Drosophila melanogaster: one gene and its partner. The protein of the gene in region 1 interacts with the protein of each later gene in a pairwise test. Each region holds a gene or a part of one and is shown on either strand. Other genes may lie near its edges.

The links.
Region 2: the proteins of Mob3 (region 1) and e interact in a two-hybrid assay, tested with the Drosophila melanogaster proteins (one large-scale study listed by BioGRID).

The regions. Positions count from the first base shown.
Region 1 is NT_033779.5:10,263,266-10,267,181, reverse strand, and holds Mob3 (MOB kinase activator 3), read right to left. Parts: upstream 1,847-3,916; 5' UTR 1,663-1,846; coding exon 1,621-1,662; intron 1,562-1,620; coding exon 1,411-1,561; intron 1,356-1,410; coding exon 1,232-1,355; intron 1,176-1,231; coding exon 1,072-1,175; intron 985-1,071; coding exon 869-984; intron 803-868; coding exon 677-802; 3' UTR 612-676; downstream 1-611. Other genes in the region: CG4953 (uncharacterized protein), read right to left, coding at 1-269, 330-372; REPTOR-BP (REPTOR-binding partner), read right to left, coding at 2,143-2,235, 2,297-2,418, 2,549-2,633, 2,918-2,974; Rsf1 (repressor splicing factor 1), read left to right, coding at 3,764-3,916.
Region 2 is NT_033777.3:21,230,874-21,238,798, forward strand, and holds the start of e (ebony), read right to left. Parts: upstream 6,305-7,925; 5' UTR 6,022-6,304; intron 2,161-6,021; 5' UTR 2,145-2,160; coding exon 1,037-2,144; intron 971-1,036; coding exon 803-970; intron 716-802; coding exon 1-715. UniProt on the Drosophila melanogaster protein: Nonribosomal peptide synthase which is required for the regulation of histamine and dopamine levels in various tissues through their condensation with beta-alanine.

The DNA of each region.
Region 1 (3,916 bases):
CGACTGTAGATCCGCCTTGACGGTGACGCATTCCACCGGATTCGGGGTGGTATTGTGGACGCAGATGTAGCTGGCGAATGTTTCGCCCAGGTAAATGCTGCCGAAGGACTGCGGCAGCAGTAGCACCTGGCCGGCCGCCAAGGTCTCCGCACAGGCACCGGACATTCCGTCGCTCTCCTGGGAGCTGCTAAATCTCTGGACCAAATCCGTGGGCTCGCAGGTTACCACAGGTCCAAGGCCCACCAAAGTGGGCCGCATCAAACGCATAACTAAGAAAACAACAAAAACATCACACTTTGTCCATAATTTGCATTACAACTAGAGTTTACCTTTGAGTGCCACCAAGTGCGCATCCGGTTCAACCATCTCCATGTTGTAAAATACTCTAAGAAGTGCTTAACTTTAACAAAAATAAATCAGCAATTTAATTTACTTAATGCGAAAAACTCTGTTTACATCGGTGCGACCAAGTCTATTGAACTTTATTATACCAGTCTTTACAGAGGAGTACCCCTAACACACCATTTTGATGAGAAAATAATACCAACAAACAATAAATTTGAAAAACTAAAATTATAAAATTAGTTATTAAGAAAAGGACACCAAGCTTTGTGTTCGCTTATTTATTTTGTAATAAACAATACATATTTACATCACAATCTAGTACGAATTACTTTCAATCCTTATCCTTGCAAATTCGAGATGTCATTTCTTGTAGGGGTTCCAATTCCTTGGCCGAAATCATGTCAAATTCTTGCACAAAGTAGTAAAAATGTTTGTAGCAGGCATTCACGTGAGCTTCCTGAAAGTGGTGAAAACATTTAACAGTTTATAGAGTTAATTAAAGTAACTATTTAGTGATACGCACCGCTCCAATGCTCACAATCCGATCGAAATGGTGAATATAGACGTGGACGAAAACACGAAAAAGACGGGTTAAAATTTTACGACTTATTGCTATGAAGTTCTTGGGAAATGGAACATCTGAAAGGAAGTATGGTACACATTAAATAACTCATATACGAAATATGCGAGAGGGCTTCTTTAAAAGGAAAGTATATAATTTCCTACCCGTGGACACTGGAAAAACAGCTTCGTTGTTAATTTGTGTCTCAATCCAGTCCATTAAATGCTCAATGTACTTTTGGGCTGAAAGGGCGGTTGGCTTTTTGTATCTGAAATCGTAGCTACATTAGTTTATGCTCTTCGCAATATCATTTCCTGCACTTACAGATCTCCATCGGCCCATAAGTACTCATATCTGGAACCGCCAGACATCGTGGGACACGTAGTTTCGTTGCAAAACTCCGAAACGGTGCCGTAGATCAAGTTTATGCGATTGAAGAAGTCCACAACTGAAATATACAACGTTGGGTATACTGTATATATTGTATAATTCACAATTCTCACCGTGCACAGCTAGCCAGTCGTTGAGATTCTCCCCTTGCGGCAAACGCACCACTTGCCGCAGATTAATCCCGGATTGCAAACTGGCCTGGGCTTGCTTATGTAAGGAATACCTAATGGTTCCGGAGGCAAATGGCTTTTTTGGCCTAAAGGTCTGAAAATTAGTTTAAAAATACATCAACTGCATATGATTTTGTTATTGACCAAACACACCTTGCCCTTTTGGAAGAATTCTAAAAATCCATTTAAAGCCATAATATCTTGTTGGAGATTCTGTTGGTTGTGAGAATATTTTGGCACATATGTAAGCGCTGCTTACAGCACAAAAGTTTGTCAATTGAATAACTATTAATGGCTGTTTATAAATAATGTTTACATTTATTCAGTTCCTTAGACTATTCTGTATTTTTATGCCGATGGAGAGATGGGAGAAACCATTGATAGGCTTTTCACGACTAAGTTATCGAACCCTTAGAATAATCGTTCCATATATCACTGTTCCAGTGTACCAATTGGTTTAACACCCTTAAATAACAAATATTTAATTAGTTCTTATTTATCATAAAAATACTTTAATTTGGCTTTAATCACTATACAAATGAAACAATAAAAAGCTGTAAAATGCAATATAGAAAATAACAAAAATTTCTGCAGTATTTTCGTAATAATATAAATAGTAACCGTCGTACATTTATTATAAAAGTAATATTCTTAAGCTAAAAATAAGAATGTAGGTTATTCTTGTTTGAGGATTCCGAGTTCCTGAAGTAACTGGTCATTGTTGGTTGGAGTGTTGCTTTCGCTCAACTGGTTATTCCATTGAATTAACTGCAATAAAGATGAGAATAAATAAATTGGTTGGACGTGGCATGATAAGTTATATACCGACGCGCTCCAGTTCCGTACGCAAAGCAACTACAGCCTTCTCCCGATCCGCCACCAGTTCCTCCAGGTACTGATACCGCAGCTTCTTGCGCGCCCGGCATTCCCTGGCACTTTGTCTGCTGCGTTCTGCAAGGGAAAATACACGTTATATAAAATTCCATAGGAAATAACATGTATTAGTGTTTGGAAACTTTGTTACTATTAAAAATAATACCGTTGTTTAAGTATTATAAGTGGAAATTAATGTTGTTCTTACCTAGTTTGGCTTTCATGTCCAATTTTTCAGTAGACGTCTTTCTTCCTGGTTTTCGTCCCCTTTTTCCACATTCCTTGCGCGTCTGCTTATAAATATAATATAAAATGTAAATATTTGACGATATCCCAAAAACAATTTGCTTTCAATATTCTTATTCGCAAAAATTTAGTTCCGATAAGTCAAACTTAAAATCTTTTTTGAAAATAGGCGCTTTTGCATGATAAAAATCACATATGTATATACACGCATACACAGAAGATAGCTTATATATGTGTATATACATACACGCAAGGCCTTACTGCGCATTAGAACAATTCAGATCATGTTCAAACAAAAAGACCACATCTTTTATATTTAATAATATATTACCACTTGTGTTTCCTCCGTTATTGACATTTTGTTGCTCTGTATCTCCATATCAGCCATTATAACTCTCAAATAATACAACAACTTTGCAACTCTTTGTTATTATGCGTCTTTCGTAAATACTCAAGGTAACAATAAACAAAACCACTACACACAAAGGTGCCAATCGAAATATATCTTAACAGAAACGATGGAATGGAACACATTAAGGGAACTATTTGTATTTTATATTTAAGAACAAAAATATAAATAAAGTTTAAATCGTAACAAATTTTCTTTTAATGACTTAAAATGATAATAGTCATTATATTTAAATAGTTAAATTATGATAATAGTTAAATTATAAATTAATTAAATAATAATTAATAAATGTTCAATATAATTATTCATTATTTGGGGTTTGAAGAAAATATAAAAGTACACGGCTATATATTAACAAACATTTTATATATTGTTTTACTTTATTTACTTTACTAAAGATCATACAAATATTTATAAAATTATATAAATTAAATTGACGTATTATTCAGATTACCATGATACATTTCCCAGCACAAAGTATAAAAATAATTAAAAATACAAGTCACTAGAGCAGCGGGAAGTCCCTTTTTACGGGGCCGTTAAACTATAAATACATCCCAACACACGTCCATTCTCAGTGTTCCAAATGCGAGGATATTTTTGAAAATTAGCATTTTTGCAACGAGTTTAACCACCCTGGTCGAAAAGTTGATATAGATACAAACGCTAAATTGTCCGGTGGTGATAACTTATTGATTATTTATTTTTCAAGGCAGCTATCCGATTTGCAGGATAACTCCGAAAACGAATCAGAAACAGTGAATCCAGATGTCCAGCATGGGTGATCAGCGCGGGACACGGGTGTATGTCGGCAATCTGACCGACAAAGTGAAAAAGGATGATCTGGAGGGGGAGTTCACAAAGTATGGCAAGCTGAATTCGGTGTGGATAGCCTTCAATCCGCCGGGATTTGCGTTCGTC
Region 2 (7,925 bases), on another chromosome or scaffold:
GGACAAGCATTCAAGGATTCCTCCTCTAGCTGCACTGCATCATGGTTGGCCGCCATCTTCTCGATGATCTCGCCCAGATTCTTGGCCGCAATGAATTCGGAAATGCCGATGTTGTAGCCCTTCTCGCGCAGCAGCGTCACCGTGAAAATGGAATTCAACGAGTTGCCGCCCAGCTCATAGAAGTTACTGTGCGGAGCGAGGGTTGCTCTGGTGGAGCGTCCAATCACGCCGCCCACTGTCTCGAAGAGATCCCGTGCCGTTAGCTTTAGATCCTCAGGAACCTGCGAGTAGTCAAAGTCCAGAACGATACTGGAGTCACCTTCGTTGTTATTGGCCGTCTCATAGGTTTTGAGCAGCGCCTGGCGATCCACCTTGCCGTTGACCAGCAATGGAACGTGCTCCAGGATGACCACCTGCGGCGTCATGTAATCGGCTAGCTTGTCCTTGAGACGAGCCTCCATCTGCATCTCGGTGACCATGGGGGCATCATCGCGCAGCTTGACGAAGGCCAGAATAGCCTGATCCACCTGACCAGCATGGTAGCACAGAACAATGGCCTTATCCACCAGCGGCAGCTCGGCCACGTTCTTCTCCACTTCGGACAGGTCGACGCGATGTCCACGGATCTTCACCTGAGAGTCGGTGCGTCCCTCGTACATGATGCTGCCGTTCTTCAGGGATCCATAGTCTCCAGTGCGATACAAACGGGCGTATTCTGGAGAGGTAAAGTCGGATTAAGTAATAATAACTAACTTGAATGCATTTTGAAATGTATTCAGAAGATATCAGATGGACAACTTACTCTTCTCCACAGCTAAAGGATTCTCCAAGAACCTCTCCGGATCGCGTCCGTTAACATAACCAGCGGCCAAGTTGAGACCCGAAGCAAAGATCTCCCCAATCTCGCCGTTCTTCACCGGACGATAGTCGGCATCCAACAAATAGACCACGGTATTCGACAGTGGAATGCCTTCAGGATAAGAGATCATGGGTTATACACGACATGGAAATTTTAGAACCCGAGTTTAAGGCTCACCTATGGGCACATTATCGTACAAACTCAGTTGCTTCTTGCTCTCGCACGCAAAGTAGGTGACATCGCCCAATACCTCCGTGGATCCGTAAAAGTTGTACAGCCGGTGCACGCCCTCATCGAAATAGTCGAAGAAGCTGCTGGCCAGGGAAACGGATAGGGGTTCTCCGGAGCAGACCCAAATCTGGAGATTGTACAGCAGTTTCTGAGCAGCTCCGCCTCCCTCCATCTTCAGATACATGAGCAACGAGCGCAGAAGGGTGGGCACCAGTACGAGACGCCTGATCTTATAACGCTCCAACAGGGCCACCAATCGCTGGGGATCCTTGGTCACTGCCTTGGGCACCACCAGAATGGCCAGGCCACACATTAACGGGCCCCATAGCTCCGCAATCGAGTCCACGAAGGTTAGGGCCGTCTTGAAAACGCTCACCGCCTCGTTGGCGGTGTACGGAAAGGTCGCCCACTGCCACTGGAGCCGATTGAGGATGCTCTCGTGCGGCAGACGCACTCCCTTGGGCACACCCGTACTGCCCGAGGTGTAGAGCACGATGGCGATGTGGTCGTTGCCACCGCGCAGCATCTCCTCTGAGAGCAGATTGGAGCCGGCCAGCTGGAGGGATTTGGCATACAGTTCGGTGGTGGATAACGTGGGAGTTCCCTGGAAACGGCCGGCGTCGATGTCATCGTCGCGAATCACCAAGGTGGGCTTCGCCTCCAGCAGTATGTGGTGAATGCGGTTCGCCGGGAAGCTGGGATCGATGGGCAAATACGCGCCGCCAGCCTTCCAGATGGCCAGCAGTGTGGTGACCAATCCCTCCGACGGCTGCATGCACACAGCCACGATGAAGTCACCATCGCTGTTTGGCTGCAGGAACCGGCCGTGGGTCTCGGCCACCAGGAGGCGGGCTGCCCGGTTCGCACGCTCGTTCATCTGGCGGTAGCTGCTCTGACTGGGCGCCATTCCCTGGCCCGTAGTGCTGGGCTGATAGATCAGAGCCACCTTGTCGGCATGCCGCAGCTGCTGCTCCTCGAAGATGCGGTGCAGAGCTCTAGGCACGAAGTCTTGCTGCAGACCCTTGACGATCGACAATTGTGGCAGCGAACCCATCTTGAAGATATATTAACTGTGGGGAATACTTTGTTAGTTTTGGGCTTAGAATCTCAGTCGGAGAATCCCTAGGTTACATCATCATTCCCAGCTCGTATTATGCAATGCAGGCTAATGCCTTGCTGCCTTGCGGTAGCAATTAAATTCATTCATACATGCATATTTATAACACTTCGTGTTAATGGAGCGCTCGCACAATAAACTATTATAATGAATGAGTATGAATATGGGAGCTGGCTTAAACGGATGGCTTCTGTTGAGCTATATTTATTCAATTAAATTGCTGTCTCTTAAGCTGCAGAGATTGCAAGTTCAAGTAAACTGGAATTCGATATTCCATGTTAATGACTTGATAATTAAGGGTTTCAGGGTAATACGATTTTATTAATGTTTTATTATTTATATCAGTACTTAAGAATAGCCTTATGGAAATAGTTGGAATTCTTATTTCTCGCTAAATGGCGTGGAGTATAAAGACTCATTCATTTTATTTTCAGTAATAGTTAAGTTAGTTTTTCTTCTTTGCGACTAAACGCTTAGCAACAGGCACATGTTATTTTAAATTATGGCGACATTTTTATCTATTCGCTTAGCACCATATTTTTCCCTAACCTATCAGTCATACTTTCATTACAGGTTTGTCTAATAGGAGACTAGAGAGCTCCTTAACTTTAGTAAATATTACTTAATGCATTAGCATAGCCACCTGCTTGTCGTTACTAATTACGGTCAGTTTAATCTATGTGGGCTTACACTATGAATTGAGATGTGTTCCGGCTTTGAAAATCCACGTTTACATTGCCAGGTATTTATTCCTAAAAAAATGTGCCTTAAAAATAAAAATAATAATTTTCGAGTTTTGAATAACCTAGCTCCATAAAATGCCTCATCTTGAAGGAGTTACGCTGGCTCAACTGTTGTATCTCGGACATTGGACTTGGCCAAAAGCCTAAACAAGCGCTCGGAATGCGGCATGCTAACTCGTTAATTGCATGGAGCTAGCCAATTGCCAGAGGCACCAGTCGCTGTCCCATTTTACGTGACGCCATAAAACGCTGGCGAAGATTGGTGGAGGTCTTTGTGCTGCTCATGCTCGTTAAGTTCCATTGGCGTGTTATAAAACTCAGCAAAAATGTCATTGCGCCGACCACTTCTGGTCTACTACCTGTATCTGATTCTGCCCGGCTCCAATGTCAAGCGCTCTAATCCAAAACATGAAGACAAGCTGCCGTCTGGAGGCCCAAGAACGACAATTACCCGTGCCATACCCCTGGCCTTAGCAAATGTTAATCTCTGATTTGGTTTGAAAATTTGATTTCATTAGATTTGAGGCCTCGTTGAATGACTTCGATCGGGGAAGTGGAGCAGTTGAGCGGGCGTTGGCGCTGGGAAAGGCAAGGTAGTCAGGAAGCTTCTTTGGGGCAGTGCGCTATGAATTATTTATTTGCTTCCGCTTCTTCTCCAGCCGAGGAGGAAATGTTGTGGAAGTTTAAGTGAAGGGTGGATGTCGAGGTGGAGATGGTTGTGGTAGCTTGTTGTAACCATCGCGGCTGGGGAGCTCGAAACAAGTTATACTTCAATTGCGCAACTTTAGAGCTGAAAATGCGCCGCCTGGCTTCTGGGTCTGGTTTTCGGACTTGCTTGGTTCTGATTCTCGACTGGCATACATTTTTTTGGCAGCCAAGCAATTTACAACGGTTTACGGGGCGTATACGTAACGAATTCAAGGCTAGTCTTAAATCATTTCCCAAGCGCCCATTACGTATGCGCCGTGTGAGTCCAATTAGTTTGTTCACTTGCATAGACAACCTGCACTATGTTTGCCCACTATATATGTATAGTACTACATGTGTATTTATTTGAGCATATATAGTATGCAAGCTAGTACTATACTATCTGCATACAATGCTGACGCAGTCCATTGTTTTGGTCCCGCCACTCGAGTGCATTCTTGAGCCCCTTTGGTTCTTGGCATTTCACATCATCGATTAAATGCATCCAGCGACTTCTGTTCTGTTCACCTTCGCTGCTTCTGTTGATGAGGTGAAATCCATGCGGCTGCTTTAGTGTTATTACTTTTGCCCCTATTGCCATTAAATCAACGAAAACAAACCAAATAGCCAGCATTAAAACCTAGTAGCAGCGCAATCGAAAAGCATTTAAGACCGCCGCAGTACGACGAGTGCTGCTAATAATTTTCCGACCAAGGTTGCATTTGCGTTAGATCGTTTTCAGTTGGGCTTGGAGGTTCTGGCGCTTTTGGAAAATCGTTCCATAATTATCAGCCTGCCATGTAATCTGTAATTTACATAATTATTGGCCGGGTTGAAAGACCGTTTGCCAGTGGCTGTGTTGGCTGTTGCACTTGGCGGATCAACAACATTGCCTAAGGTCGCGTGGTTTATCTAGTATCGCAAATGTTTCCGCTGGTAGTAATTCCGAAGAGTGTGGCTAATTAATTTGTCGAACCGCAGTGGGAGGCGGTCGTTGGAATCAAAACACAACAGGGCTCTATGCTGAAGTCCACTACTGTTCATTGATTGAATGTATTATTATGTCTTTTTTCTGCCGGCACTGATTTGCCTAATTGAGTAAAAAGCGTCTAATTTAAGCGGTGCTGCGGTGCCCCACCATTGCATCTGCACGGCTTTGTTGGGGGTCGTCCCGGTGAGTGTGATCTGTTTTTTTGTCTGTGCTGGGTTTTTTTCTCTGTTTTCCCCACCGCCGCTGCCGTTTTCCGCAGTATTTCCGATTGTGAGTCAATTGGATGACAAGCTCGTATTGTACGAGTATTTGGAAAAGAACAAAACCGCACTCAAGACCAGCAAACGGTCAAAACTAACGATCTCGGCCAAGTGCCTTACGTCAATGGGGGAATCAGTTGGCGAGCTCATTAACGAGCCAAGTTCAAGTCGGCGAATGCAAATTGTGCACCATAAAAAGCACTTGTAAACGATATGCGACACTCGTTTAGCACATACTTAACATAATTAATAGCCGATCGCTTTGGCCAATGACTCAATTGCAATTATAAATCCATCACTGCTGGCTACCGTCAATAAGTATACGCCGCGTTGGCCGCTCTTAATAACAAGCGTTTTACTAAGCGCTCCAAGACAAATTAAATGTCATTTGCTGGTTACTTATGCCAGCCTTTAGTATGTCGATGGTGGTTTGTAGTCAGGCGCTAAACGCTGAGAAAACAATTTGGTATTCTGAGAAAAGAAGGTCTTAAGTCCGAGTTTAAGAGCTTCGTTAATCACTGAACTAATGCAATGCCTCTTCTGACCTCGCCGCGCCTCGAATTCTGGTTGCCTTTTGCATTTGGAGTGCATTCCCAAGGAACGAGCCGTTAGGCGAATCCAGTTTCCTTCTTGAGTTTAGAACTCGTTTACTTCCTCAAAACGATTTCGTTAGAAAAACTGGTCTTCTAATCGCGCCTTTCAAATCGAAGTATTAGAAATCCTGCTACTTAAAAAACTTTAGTTTGGAACTAACAACGATTTGAGGACTTCCTTAAAGTCATAATTGTTTGGCCATTGTGACAACGAAAACCTTAGCCCACAAAAATGTCGACGTCGAGTGAAGCGAGGTGAAAACAATTTGTTGAATCCATTAATTTATGCTTGAAACTAATTACATTTTTCGTCGTTCTGCTTTTTTGTAATATTCTCAGCTTAATGAATTTTATGTAATTTCTGTCGGATGTGAAGTAAGTTTCGTTATATACGAAGGAACTTAATTCGGCCATTAAATAACGCGAGAAATATTTTGTTAACTGCTCCTCAGCATGCATGTCAAGTCAATTTGCACATTAATTTCGGGAAAGCGAGTTTGCCGAATCTAAATAAATACTTGATAATCACGTAATACGTACCGTGGGTAATAACAAATTCTGACACTGGATTTTTTGAACAGGTTCTTGATTTCCTTTTTCAAATGTTTATCTGTGGCCGTTTCACACTAAGCACGTTTTTCTTGAATTTGATTTTCCTTCTATATTTTCAACTATGAGAGAGTGAGTCTACCAGCTTTAAACTTCTTTTTCTGGTCACTTCACTTAGCGTTTCACTTTGATTTTGGGGGGCACCCAAAAAACTTGCAACGCACTCGGGAAACTCAACGTGCTATGTACTTGTAAACGGCGCTCGCAGACTAATCAGAATCCCAGCCCCCGACTATCTTATATATCCGACCGATCCGCCGCTGCCGCAGTCGCCGCCGGCAGCGCAGTCGCATTCGGCTGGCGAAGAATGACTGAAAAAAAAAAACCAGTTCCTGCTCTTACAGCCCCTGCAATTACCGCTCGCAGCATACCACACATACCCATATGCGGGCGCTCAGTGTGTGGACGCCGGATTAGCATTGGTACCGCTTTACTTGGCTCGCCATTTTTTAGCGGACCGCCGAGCGGTGACGTAGGAAATGAAATGGAATGAAATGAAATTCCCCGCCGTCCCCTCACTCACTAATTGGCAGGCGAATTGTACACTTTGATTACTACTTTTCTGCCAACCAGACCATTTGGAAATCCCTCGAGTGACACACACAGCTCACAGCGGATTGGGGAAGGTGAGATGGCCACTGCTTACGCGTAGGTGGAAAGATGATTTAAATTAGTCCTCCTTTTAAGCAGGAGCTAACAAACAATACTAGTAATTAAGTGATATGGTAGTACTTTTAGGGAAATCTAGGAAAAAGTGCGTCCCTCTTAGCTATACAATGAAACTGAAACTGAGAATTATTATGTATTAGTATTGATAAAGTTTATTAAGGTATGTAAATATTTAAAATTCTGAAGCAAATGTTGGATTTAAGTGCACAGCCTATATTATTTCCGCACTATTCGGATTTTACTATTCCACATGAACTGGTATTAGAATTTAATAGCTAGCAAAGCTTCTAAAAATGGTCGAGTTTATGGCCAAGAGTAGTGGCTATTGTAGCATTAACTTCGCAATTGTTAGTAGTAGGTTGTTAGTACTCGTGCGAAAGTAAAATCGCATTAAAATTGGAATTTCAAATCGATCGAGGATCGCAGTCGCTGCAATTTGTAGTTGTCAGTTGGGCAGATCGGTGTTCATACATATCAGTGGATTTGTGAGAGGGATTGCATTTGCTAACATATGCCAGCCGTCATGTTGTGCTTCCCATTACGAAGTCAGTGTGAAAATTTGCAGTTAAGGCGCTTGTCCCCTGACTTTTAGTGCAATCATTACTCAATAACTATGTATCTACTGCCTTCGAATGCAGTCGAACTTGATGCACAGTCGGAATCAATTGGACTTCATAACTACTTTGTAGGAAAGTCTGAAGTTGATCATTGTTTGCAGTGCCAAGGTTAATCAGTTGATTGATTTAATACTTAAAGAAAGCCCTGGCACAATCAAACACTAATGTTCGATCCAATTAATCGATTTTTAATTAGCGAATCATGAGTGTTTCGTACAAGAATCAACGCCAGTAAATCCAAATTGCGATGCGGGCTAACACTTTGGAGCTGTCGATTGCCATCATTACCATTTGCATTTTTATCAATTTGATTTTAATAGCAGAAATATGACAGACTGACCAATTCAGCAATTACTTTGTGAGTTCAAGAATTAAGAACTGATTTTTCATTGTAAATGGAAATAATTATTAATAGTAATAACAATCTGTGTAATAGTCAGGAGATTTGTAATCAATTAAATTTTATTTTTATTTGAACAAGTAAATCATTAAAAGCGCTAATAAAATAAGTTGCTTTCATAAAAATAATTGTCGGCAATTGAACAACTT